Schizosaccharomyces pombe: one gene and its partner. The protein of the gene in region 1 interacts with the protein of each later gene in a pairwise test. Each region holds a gene or a part of one and is shown on either strand. Other genes may lie near its edges.

Region 1 (6,997 bases):
CCTACAAATTTGCTCAATCTGTTCCTACCGATGTTGATTTTCGTATCATGCACACTTTTTTGGAATTTTATCAAGCACTTATGGGGTTTGTAAATTTCAAGTTATATAATACCTTGGGACTTCGTTATCCCCCTAAGATTGATGTTGCTAAAAGCGAATCTGCCGCTGGTTTAGCAGCTTATGAGTTAGAGGAGTCTTCTTCCTTACCCGCTATCGTCCATGGTAATAACAAAAATGCTCGTAAGAATATTGCTACTTTAAAAAGTAAAATAAGAGATATTGTGAATAGTGATGCGAACGTCGTTGAGCAGTCGGAAAAAACTACTGAGGATGCTGATGAGGAACCTGAAACGGAGGAAAACTTAGATGAGTTTAAACCAGCTGATGGTGCAGATAATGAGGATTCCAAAAGCCTAGTATCACATATTTCATCATCTAATACCTCGTTGTTTTCTAATTTTACTTTTTTCCTTTCTCGTGAAGTCCCCCGTTTTTCTCTGGAATTTGTGATTCGTGCCTTTGGTGGTAAAGTTGGATGGGATCCAATTCTCGGATCAGGTTCTCCATTTTCAGAATCTGATCCTGTGATTACTCATCATATATGTGATCGTCCTCATATTTCACAGAAGTACGAAGGTAGGATATATATTCAACCACAATGGGTATACGACTCTATCAACAAAGGAATCTTGGAAAGGACAGACTTGTATGCCTGTGGCGCTACGCTCCCTCCTCATCTTAGTCCATTTGTTAAAGTAGGTGAAAATGACTACGATCCTGAAGCTGAACTTTCTGCTGAAGAGAACGACGATGTTTCCGAAGCTCTTGATGATAATATTTCTGGCGAAGCAGTGCCCATAAGTAAGAAGAATGACGAGCCTGAAAATGTTGAACAAATTGATGACGCTGAAGAGGAAGACTTAGAACATCAACGAGAGCTGGAGGCAGAAGCAGGCGGTGTCGCTTATTCTGAATATGTTAAACAGAATTCTAAGTCCGCGAAAAAGACTAAGAAGCGTCAACGTGATACTTTGACTGCAGAAGAAAAAGAAGAAAAAGAGGCAAAGGAGTTATCCAAAATGATGATGAGTAATAAACAGAGAAAGCTTTACAGTAAGTTGAAAAACGAAAATAGCAAAAACGAAAACTACAACAATGCGCTTCGCAATCGGAAGAGGGATATTGAAAAGAGGAAAAAATTAAAGGTTGAAAACTAGGTTTAATAAACAGTAATCATAGTAATAGATTATTTTGGGTCATTTACTTTTTGTTTCTTAAAATGAGTTCATTGTATTTTACTGTATCCATGGATTAGGTTCGTGTTCAATTTAATTGAAGCTGATCGTTTTTATATAATAAATACACTTTTGCTTAACATTTTTTCGACTGGGAGATAAAGAAGATGAATATCAATTTTTGAGATATATTATAAAATATTAATTTTATGTAGTCAATATTTATTTATAAACGTACAAATAATAATAATGAGTAAAATAAAACTCACGGTAATTTTAAAATAGAGAATGTAAAATATTTAAAGACAAAAAGAACAAAAAAATGAAGGCAAGACAACACTTTTTTTTTATTTTTTAAATTGACTTTCAAGGTTACAGTACGTTTAAGCACTGTAAAGCCAAGGCTTTTCAACCAACATCGAGGCCTGTGACGGAACTTCATGTAAAGCTAAGGGTTCAAGCAATTCTTTATGAATAACGTTAAGAGCCTTTACAGCCATTTTCTCGTCAATAACGCATGAAATGTTGATTTCACTAGCACCTTGACTAATCATCTCAATGTTGATTTGGGCTTCAGCAAGTTTGCAAAACATACGACCAGCGTAACCGGTAGTGTTTCTCATGTGCTTACCAACAAGAGATAGAATAGCTAAACCATGGAGAATATCAAGCGTTCCCAATCGACGCAATTCAACGAATGCCTCATGCATATTACCGTCATCAGACTCTTCGTAAAGCGCCATTGAGACGTGAACTTCTGAAGTAGTAATCAAGTCAACAGCCAATTTGTACTTATCAAGAATGGCAAATATGGAAGCTAAGAAACCATGAGCAGATATTTTACGATTCGATTGAATATTAATAACCATAATGGTGTCTTTAATAGTAACCGCGGTAGCGCCTTTGTTAGCGAGGCTAGCAGAAATATCATCGGGCATAATTTTAGGAGGATGAGGAGGTGTAGCACTACCATGACGTGAAATTGTATCAGGAAAAATAACAGTTCCCTTTCCACGTGGGTTGCCAACGTTTTTAATTCGGATAGGAATACGAGCGTGAACAACCTGGGACATAGTGAAGGGATGGATGACTTCACTACCGTAATAAGTAAGTTCAGCAGCTTCTTCAGGTGTGATGAGAGGAAGAAGTCGAGCAGTTGGAACCTTACGGGGATCAGCTGTGAAAATGCCATCAACTTCCTTCCATATTTGAAGTTCGTCAGCATTAAGACCAACAGCTAATAAAGCAGCGCAAAAATCGGTGTAACCACGGCCAATTTGCGACAAAAGACCACCCGGTACCATACCAAAAAAGCCAGTAACGACAGGTACTTTATTTCCAACAGCGGTAACTTTACTAGCAAGTTGGGAAGCAAGATATGCGTAAAAGGATGCATCAAGATTCCTCCACTCTCTTTGCTCGTCAATTATATGACTCATATCAATAAACTCAGAATCGATCCCTTGATCTTTCAAAACTGCCGCCATAAATCGGCAACTTAAACGCTCCCCCATGCCAATCACGAGATCACGAGTACGAGGAGAAACCTCGGAAAGAACTCTAATAGCATTTAGGTACTGTTCCAATTCAACGCAGTCTGCATGAAAAGCATCAATAAGTTCGTCTTGAATGCCAACATCCTGGATGAAATCACGAGCAGCTTGAACATGATCAGTTTCAATAATACGAACCAAATCATGCACAGAACCTACAGCAGGTCGCAATGCTGCTTCTGTTGCTCTAATAAGTCTAGTAGTAGTGCCTTCTGCTTTGGTATCTGTGCTGCGAGCAGAGCATACCAATGCTACGCGCTTAGTACTTAGGTATTCCCTAAATAAATTATTTAGTAATTTGTAATTTAACGGTCTAAAATGGTCGACAGTTTGTAGAGGAGTAAGCATTTAAATATATAAGTCTCATATCGATAGAAAGTGGAAAGAGTAACCAAAACCTCTTTTATCTCCTTTCTCTCATTTTGAATTCGATTCAAAAAAACCTAATTAGCCAATATTCCCAAGCATAATTCAACACATGAAATATCTTATTTTTAAATAATTTCGGGCATTCTAGCATGAAAACTCCAATCTAACGCACATTCAGGAAAAAGTTCTCTTGACTTCTTAAATATTTTTGAACCTGCTAGATTCAGACGATGACCATACTCCTCGAACCATCATATAAACTGTAAACAAAATACTCACTTTGCAACATCAACAGCAATTTTAATTGGGAACTTTCCAACACTGGTTCCACCGAATTTTTGAACAACCCACCCTTTGCTAGGATCGTTTTCTATATTCTTTGCAATTGACATGGTCAATGTTTTAGTTGGCACTGCTCAAGTGTGGAATTCAACGTTTCCGATATTTAGATCAATTCACAGATGAAAATCTCGATAGCGTTGCCACCTTCTATTTTGCAATTTTTTTTACAATTGCGTTAATTTGTTTTGCGTTGGGAATTTGCATGATACTTGGTTGCTTCACTATATTTACCATTTAATTTTAAATCAGATATGCATTGCAATGAGTATGTTAATATGAAGACTTTGAACGCTGAGTTGTCGGCGTTTTGTTGATTTGAAGGATACTTTATAGAAGATGAATGTGAATACATTAGATTATTTTACAAAAGTCTATATTTGAATCGTATGCTTATTGTCGACAAATAATGATTTCAAATTATATATCGCCCGAATTGTAAAGTTACTATTAACCTTAGTCTAAACTTGCTGCAGCGCTACAAACCCAAAACAGTATATATTTAATGACTGCATAAGCTGTCCGCGTAACACTTTATGTTGTCTAGGAATAAATTTCAGTGTACGGGCATAAGTTTGTACATTGTTATTACTCAAACAAAAGGATTTCACTTCTGTAGCACGCAAAGGAAAATAATGCTTTAATAAATGTGTTATTACGATAAATAATCGTATATATTTCATCCGATGAAAATCCTTACCATCGACAAATCAAGTACCCAAAGGTTACAAGAGTACAACTATCAACGATAAGTATATACAAGGAAACTCATAGTTTAACATAAGAATATCAGTATTCAAACTTTATGCTTCGAAGCGAGTTGGCGGTTAATTACAAATACCCTGCCTTCTGGAGTCATATCAGAGCGTAAAAAAGAAGGAAGAAGTAGCCTAGGCCAGTTGATAAACTGGAGTCCGTGGGCAAAACAGTAATAAAGAGATGCAACTATTCCCAAAAATGTCAGGATCAAAAGAATTGAAGGTGGAAGGATCGTAGAAGAAGATCTAGAAAACAATGTCATGAAGAAAAGGATTAAACATGCCAATAATATATAAGGGACACAACGAATAGTAAGAGGACGTAAATCTAATCTATATCGGAAGTTAACATCGGGTCTAAACTGTCCAAGTACTAAATCATAAGCATCTTGACGTGCTCCATCATAAAAATTATTTAAAATATAACGTTTAGCAGAGTTAACAAAATCGTTAAAAGCGCCTTTTCGAGTTCGAATACCGGTTCTAGTAAAATCGGTTTTCAAAGCTCCTGTACCAGAATAAGAAAGACTAATGTAATCTGCATTATCAGACCAAATGTTGCAAAAAATGTTATCAAGAGGAATGACGGAACGAAGGGGATGGGTAGCACCTATAATTCCGCATTTACGAAGTTGATTCGTAAGCACCCAGCGACCTATACAGCTTTGGACCACATTGGTTCTATCAAGACAATCCATGCAGTTGGAGCGTACAACGCCATTCTGACGAGATAAAACACGGTACTTTTGAGTGTCTAATGTAGTGTAGCCTTGCTCTTCTAACTCGGGTTGTATTTCATTTAAAAGGAGTGAAACCCGGTCCCACCTCATATGGCTACATTCTTTATGAAAGTCAAAATAATGATAATGGATATGGGGATTATCCAAACGACGTATAACATTTTCATATAACTGTTTAATAGGAAGCTCATGTCCTTTACAGTTGACCAAATTAACTACAACCTGGTCACCGTATATGGATATTTGCTCGTCGAAATGCTTTTTTGCAGCGGCTGCAGCCATTGAAGCAGAATTTGCAACCATCAATGGTTTATAGCGAAGATTATTAACCTCTGCCCAAAAAGCAGGAACACTACCGCGGGTCTGAACATGTGAATAAGTGACCTCTGACTTTTCGTCTGAAACGATAGTAATCTGCTCAGTTTCATTGAAGTTGGCGGGGTTTCCATTCTCGTCTAAACCTCTGGTAAAATATCTAGTACCGGCGCGTTGTTTAGAGCGTCGAGATATTAATGCTAACGTGATTGTTCGTCCCTTAACAATAGTGGAAGCAGAAGTGATGAAGCCGTAAATCATTGGCGTAATGAAAAGTGATACTTCAGAATGGGCACCGATAAGATCAATGAAATCTTTACTAGCAAACTCGTTCCAAAAAAATCGTTTATCACTTCGAAGAATAGGTGAGGCCTTTCCCTCATCCGTACAAGAACGTTGTAGGGAGTTAGTAAGGTCCCATGTGTACGAGAAGTAAAAAGGTCCTGTTTTCAAATGATTTTGTAACAAATTGTATAAATCCAATTCATCTTGATCGTCAGCTAGTAGGTTACGATAGGGAATAACTTCAAATTTATGAACACGATATATTTTATGTCCCAAAATTTGGGCTGCACTAGATTTTTCTGTAGCTAAAATAAGATATTTATCTTTTTTCAGCTTGATTGAACCAAACAATGTGACACTATTTTCTTTGCTGCGGGCAACTGGTTTCAACTCGTCCGGCTCAAAACTAACTGCACCACTTTCTCGGTCAATTGTTAAACAACAATCTTCTCGACGAAGCTTAAATTGCTTCTCGTTTGCTTCAAACTGAACCATGAAGAAATTTTCTAAAGTTTTTGTAGGATAGATACCAAGATCTGTGAAGTTGATGGTTGGTAGACGGCAGACAACGAACCTGCTTACTGCTGTACTGTAACATACGGTTTTCTATGCTAAGTCATGTGGTATTATCGTAGATAGAATAAATGACATTTTCACTATGATTTATCAATTACTAAATTTGCTAGTAAGTATCCATCCTCAATAAAATATTATACTACAATGATCATATTGAAGGTCGCTGAATTATTCCTAGGGTATCTGGTGTTTGTTTAAATATTGAGAATAAATATCTCATTGACATCTTAAAATGTAAAATAATTAACATGAATACTTTCAAAACTTAATTGCCGTACACATAACTGCTAACGCACTTTCACCTAAATATGGTAGATGCTCTTGGTCATGTTGTGCTAGCCTTGTAAATACAAATTTCTTCCACTACCATTTACCAACGGAGTTCCAAAGGACACTCTGAAGAGTGCTTTAGAAGAATAATACATATTTGTAATATTAATAGTAGATACTTTGATTATTCTTCACGTTGAAATCACTATACTACTGTGATCTTCGTTTTGTGGTTGAATCCTGAGGATTCACTCGTTCATCAAAATTTTCATTTTTGAAAAAAAGAGCGAAAACATAGTTGATTTATTCCATTGAAACCTTTTAAATTTTTTCTTTTATATTTTTTTCAAAAAAAGGATTACAATTATCTAGCTAATAGCCGACTTTGGCGATATTTTGGGTTTGATTTGGGAAATTGACTTTGGTGCAAAAAAATAATTTTTTCCATACATACTTCTGATTAGTTTCCTGTTCGTTCTTTCTTTTATTTAAATTTAATTAGCAACATGGATATTCATCGTTGTCGCTTTATCGACTATACCCCTTCAGCTATTACT
Region 2 (5,836 bases), 3.1 Mb from region 1:
TGAATTATTAGCCGACGTCAATATTGAGTTGGTCGTAGTTTCCCTACCTCCCAATGTTCATTCTGAAATTGTAAAAAAAGCTTTGAACGCTGGTAAGCATGTGGTTTGTGAAAAGCCGTTTACTCCTACCTATGAGGAAGCCAAAGAGCTCTATGAACTTGCCGAATCAAAAAGCCTACTACTGGCAATTTATCAAAATCGTCGGTGGGATGGTGATTTTCTGACTGCTAAAAAAATAATAGAAAGCGGAAGACTTGGTCAAGTTGTTGAATTCGAATCTCACTTTGATCGATACCGTCTGGGTCGAAAATCTGGAAGTTGGAAAGATGAACCTAGACCCGGGAACGGAATGGTGTACGGGATAGGCTCACATTTAATTGATCAAGCAGTCTCCTTGTTTGGCACGCCTTACTCTGTTACTGCCAAGCTGGAAGCTCAACGTCAAATTCCTCCTTTGGAGGTGGAAGATTATTTTCGTATTATTCTTCATTACCCTGCTAAAGGAAACAAACTTCCAATCAACGTAATTCTGTCTTCTACTAATGTGTCATGCGGCTGTGAAATGCGATTCTGTATTAAGGGCACTCGTGGTTCTTTTATGAAATTTGGGTTTGACCCACAAGAGTCACAATTACATTCAGGAATGAAGCCTAACGATCATGGATTTGGAACTGATAGATTTGAGCTCTATGGAAACTTATGGACTGTTCCTTTGGATGCTGACGTGAAAGCTTTGCCTGAACCAACTAAAATTACGGTTCCTACTGTTCAGGGAAATTACCGGGACTTCTACGATGCGGTTTTTGAGGAAATCTTAAAAAAAGCTAACGAGTTTCCTATCAAATCTGATCAAGTTTTGGCAGTAGAAAAAATAATGGAGGCTGCATATAAAAGTTCTGAATCTTCTAGCTCGATCCAGTTGTAAAAGAATATTTACAATTTTATTAAATGAAGTAACCCTTCAGTGTGAAAATCCTTGCTTGTTTTTCTTTAAACTAAATGAGAAGTGATCTTAGAATTAAAATAGTGAATATTTGGTTTTAACAATTGCGTTATAACATCTCATAGCCATAATCAATGGTAATGAATTGCATGTTTTAGAAACCGTTTAAAGAATTTGAAATGGGATTACCAAAATCATATAATGTTCAAATGAAGGGAATATTGTTTTCATATTTAAAGCTCCTTTCCAATAAGTGGACGACCACTGGGACTGAACGTACAAAAGACAATAAAGTCATACTAGTGAAAAGATTCACTGTTGCTATTCTGTAATTATCTGTTTAAGCAGCATTAAAATTTTAATGCTCGTTTCATATGATATTGTTTGCGTATTAACGAAGTTTTCACAATTTCAACACTCTATTCTGACTATTGATTCTTCTTGTCGAGCTAAAAAAATTGGTAAATGCATTGATTTTCTATTTAGTATATAGGTATACCAAAACAATATGAAGTGAAATATGCTTTTCTTACAGACACCCAAACTATATTTGAGAGCTTTTTGATTAGGATACTGTATAATAAAGATTGAATCAAACAAACCATACTTTTACGAGAAGTATGATTTATGGTACTCGGTTATTGCCATTCTGTTCATCCTCCATGCTAATTTCACAGCATGTACTAAGTGTTTTCGGAAATAAAAGTAAATCTATCTTATAACTCTCTTACGATGAACAATTTATTTTTCGTTCTGACAATAAGTTTAACTGAAATTTAATTGAATGTCCCAGCCTTTCATTAACCACTAGATCGCCAGTTCAACTAAAAAAGATTTATAAAGTTATTTATTAGCTTTCATCAAAATCCGTTTCAATAAAATTAGAAAATATGCTTTAAATTGTGCGTTTACCCTCATTTGTTACATTAAGAGTCCATATATTTACTCAGTACTTAAGTTAAACAATTGTGCTGCTCATTCTATTCCATCGTATTATATAAAAATTTTATTATTGAGTGTCCGTAATTTACAATCCTATTTCTTTTGAATTTCGGGATGATTGATACGATTACAAGCAAATTATTAAATACTGCTATGAGAGCTACATGTGTCAAATAACTTACTGTTCGAATATATTCGGTGCGCCTTATTTTAATCTTTGTTTTTAAGAATACTTCTTTTTTCTATTTTCTCAATAAAGGTTTATAGTTCTTATTGTTTATTGAATAGTGATTATCAACGAAAAGTGGTAAACAAGCTTCAAACCAGCTACATAGCTCAGTATTTACTTAAGAAAACAGTAAACTGTGGTGTGTGCTTCGTTACAATATGCTGTTTTCTTATACGAATAAGACAAAGCAATTATTATTATACTACTTGAATGTAATAACTAATGTAAGTGCGACTAGAATAAAGTCAGATGGTGTATTTTGATATATTGTTAAACCCACTCTAAGAAGTTATAGTATGCAGAATGAATAATACTAGAGTACATGGTATAGCGATAAGTAAGGAATTTTCAGTTTACTAATCGGTAAACCGGATAGAGAAGTGCATAACGAGTTTACATCACAGAATGAAAGAATGCGGTAAACTGGGCAAGTTATTCCATATACATCTTCCATTACTACTTTCGGGTTTGCTCATTAACCAACCACTTATTTTATTTGAAATCTGTTAAATATGGGTGTCGAAAAGCAAGTTATTTCTGTAAGTGTTGAAAAAATCGGTAATTTCTTTTGAATCTACAAATATCTTCTCTGGTTATGTTTGTAAACAATTCATCCGTGTTAGTCGGTTCACCACTGATTTGCATTTCCTTAATTTGTCACATTCCTGATGTCCTTGTCTCTACATTATTCCTTTCATACAAATTCTAACCTTTAAAAAAGTCCGGAAATGGTCAAGACTTTCCCAAACCTGGTGACAGGTATGTATTTAATGTGTGATTTCACTTTAACTCTTTGTTACCAAAGGAGCTTTGCTTCTCCTTTTCTTAGGGTCTATAGTGAATTTGCTTACAATTTTATTCTAAATGCAGTTACTAACACCATTTAGAATCACCATGCATTATACCGGTATGTGAAATCTACGACGAATTATTCTAGCAAATCAATTTTTATATTGTGTTGTTTTCTCCTTTCCAAAACGAATATTTCATTGCTGACATAACCGTGGGATAGGTACTTTAACCAATGGTAAAAAGTTTGATTCATCTGTTGACCGTGGATCCCCATTTGTTTGCACTATTGGCGTTGGTCAATTAATTCGCGGATGGGACGAAGGAGTACCCAAAATGAGTTTGGGTGAGAAAGCTAAGCTTACTATCACTCCTGATTATGGCTATGGCCCACGTGGTTTCCCTGGATTGATTCCTCCTAACAGCACTCTTCTTTTGTAAGTACAAATGTACATTTTTCGTGATTTATTTTTAACCTATATAGCGATGTTGAGTTGCTTGCTATCAATGATAAGAAGGCTTAAATGCTAGTGTTTCGCTTTTTATGATACATGCATCTTACTAGCGGTTGTTACTTATTCCACAATTTTTTTAGTGTTTTAAGTATAATAACGTTTCCCAGTTTAGAAATATATCTTTTTTTTTTTAATATCTTATATTTTCTTGCACTATGATATATTTCGTATAGCGATAATGATGCCTACGATCAATAGATTACTGCTAAAGAGAGAAATATTTACTTCTGAAAAATTTCACTTTCATAAGTTGAATCAAACTTCTCCGACTGTATTTCAAATAGTTAAATTACACGTTCAGTTTTCAACTAAACCATCAAGAAAAAAATCATATGGTATGATCGGTTTATTTCATTAGGTTGAACAGTATGAAAGTTAAAACAGGAATTCTATACGATTGTCAAAGAAGCAACAGTTTTTTAACGTTTTTTACTCCAAAAAGGATAAGTATCATGCAATGAACTAGCAAATTATGCTAACATTGCTAATACTAAATATGGGCCTGAAAATATAGGCATATACGGCACTTGCTAGAGTTGTATATGTCGATCATTCTGAGCTTAAATTTTAATAGTAGATATTTGAAAGAAACAAGAAAACTATTGGTTGAACAACTGTTTTCCATTGCCTTGTTCTCAGAACAAAGCAAAAGGGGTTGATAGAGACAGGCATTGGCGAATTAAGACAGCCCAACAATATCACCATTTTCTGCGATATCAATATTGTAATAGGCTGGCTTGGTAGGTAATCCAGGAATAGTAGATATGGCTGCTGCTAAAGGATAAATGAATCCAGCACCAGCACTCAAACGCATATCACGAATTGGCACGGTAAAATTAGTAGGGGCACCTTTTAGATCTGGGTCGTGCGATAAACTGTATTGTGTTTTGGCAATGCAAATGGGTAAGTTGTTGTATCCTTGTTTAGTAAACGTTTCAAGACGTTCTTTAGCCAAGGGACTCAATTCAATGCCGTCAGCACCATACATTTCTTTCGCAATAATTTCAATCTTCTTTTCGATGGGCTCGTGTACATCGTAAAGGAGGCGGAATTCAGAATCCACATTCTCGCAAGCATTTATCAAAGCACGTGCAACACCTAGAGCTCCTTTACCACCTTCGGCCCAGTGGTTAGAGTCTACAGCATCAGTTGCACCGGCAGCAAGGGCTTCTTCACGAATGGCACTAATTTCATTAGGAGAATCGGAAGAAAACTTATTGATTGCAACCACAACGGGTAAACCGTACTTACGTGCATTACTAATGTGCTTAGCCAGATTAGCGCATCCTTTACGAACCAAATCAACGTCTTCGCGCTTATAAACCTCAGGGATAGGTTTACCAGGTCCAACAGGAGGACCGCCGCCGTGTAACTTCAATGCTTGAACAGTTGCAACGATAACAATGGCATCAGGCTTTAAACCTGAAGTACGACACTTGATATTAAAGAACTTTTCCATTCCGATATCGGAAGCGAATCCTGCCTCAGTTACAACATATCCAGCTTCTTTCTTAGCATCCTCATCCACTTCGGTACCCGCTAATTTGAGGGCAATGCGATCAGCCAGAATGGAAGAGGCACCAATACTGATATTTGCAAAAGGGCCAGCATGAACAAGAGCAGGAGTACCCTCCAACGTTTGCATAAGTGTTGGTTTAATTGCGTCTTTGAGCAAGACTGTCAAGGCACCACCAACTCCTAAATCATCAGCGGTAACAGGTTCACCAGATTTGTTGCTGGCAACAACCATGCGGCCTAATCGCTCACGCATATCTTTCAAGTCAGTAGCCAAGGCCAAGACAGACATACATTCGCTAGCGACAGAAAGATCAAAACCGGTTTGGCGAGTGAAACCCTTTTCCGTAGGATTCTCTCCAATAGTAATTTTACGAAGAAAGCGATCGTTAACATCCAAAGTACGATTCCATGAAATAGTTGAAGGTTCAATATCCAGCCTAGCAAATTTTCTTTGCTCTTCTTCGGTTAATTCTTCAGGATTAGTTTTATCAATGCCAAGCTTTTTCAAGCGACGGAACATGACGGGTGCAAACTCTCGTTTGTTTCCCTTAACCAAAGTCAAACGTTTATACAAAGCGGCATCGGATTGTGTGTTTTCATGGAACATACGGGTATCGATGGCAGCAGCAAGCAAGTTGGTAGCTGCTGTAATTGCATGAATGTCACCAGTTAAATGAAGATTGAACTCCTCCATAGGGATGAATTGAGAATAACCACCTCCGGCAGCACCACCTTTAATTCCAAATGTGGGGCCTTGAGAGGGTTGACGAACACATGCAATAGCAAGCTTGTCCAAGTTTGAAAGCGCTTGAACGAGTCCTGCAGTAAGTGTACTTTTACCCTCGCCGAATGGAGTAGGAGTGATACCAGTAACTACAACGTAGTGGCCGTCGCGACGAT

What was found.
Region 2: the proteins of hom3 (region 1) and fkh1 interact in a two-hybrid assay, tested with the Schizosaccharomyces pombe proteins (one large-scale study listed by BioGRID).

Annotation. Positions count from the first base shown.
Region 1 is NC_003423.3:3,705,824-3,712,820, reverse strand, and holds hom3 (aspartate kinase), read right to left. Parts: upstream 3,576-6,997; 5' UTR 3,550-3,575; coding exon 3,437-3,549; intron 3,066-3,436; coding exon 1,619-3,065; 3' UTR 1,388-1,618; downstream 1-1,387. Other genes in the region: ppp1 (pescadillo-family ribosome biogenesis protein), read left to right, coding at 1-1,217; sac11 (inositol polyphosphate phosphatase), read right to left, coding at 4,293-6,089; U3 snoRNP protein Utp4, read left to right, coding at 6,947-6,997. UniProt on the Schizosaccharomyces pombe protein: Phosphorylates aspartate, the first step in the biosynthesis of amino acids that derive from aspartate (the aspartate family of amino acids), including methioinine and threonine, the latter of which is a precursor to isoleucine.
Region 2 is NC_003423.3:629,433-635,268, reverse strand, and holds fkh1 (FKBP-type peptidyl-prolyl cis-trans isomerase Fkh1), read left to right. Parts: upstream 1-2,591; 5' UTR 2,592-2,626; coding exon 2,627-2,653; intron 2,654-2,835; coding exon 2,836-2,873; intron 2,874-3,001; coding exon 3,002-3,021; intron 3,022-3,126; coding exon 3,127-3,340; intron 3,341-3,387; coding exon 3,388-3,427; 3' UTR 3,428-3,572; downstream 3,573-5,836. Other genes in the region: SPOM_SPBC115.03 (gfo/idh/mocA family oxidoreductase), read left to right, coding at 1-925; C1-5,6,7,8-tetrahydrofolate (THF) synthase, trifunctional enzyme Thf1, read right to left, coding at 4,098-5,836. UniProt on the Schizosaccharomyces pombe protein: PPIases accelerate the folding of proteins. It catalyzes the cis-trans isomerization of proline imidic peptide bonds in oligopeptides. Has an important role in sexual development and serves as the target for rapamycin action.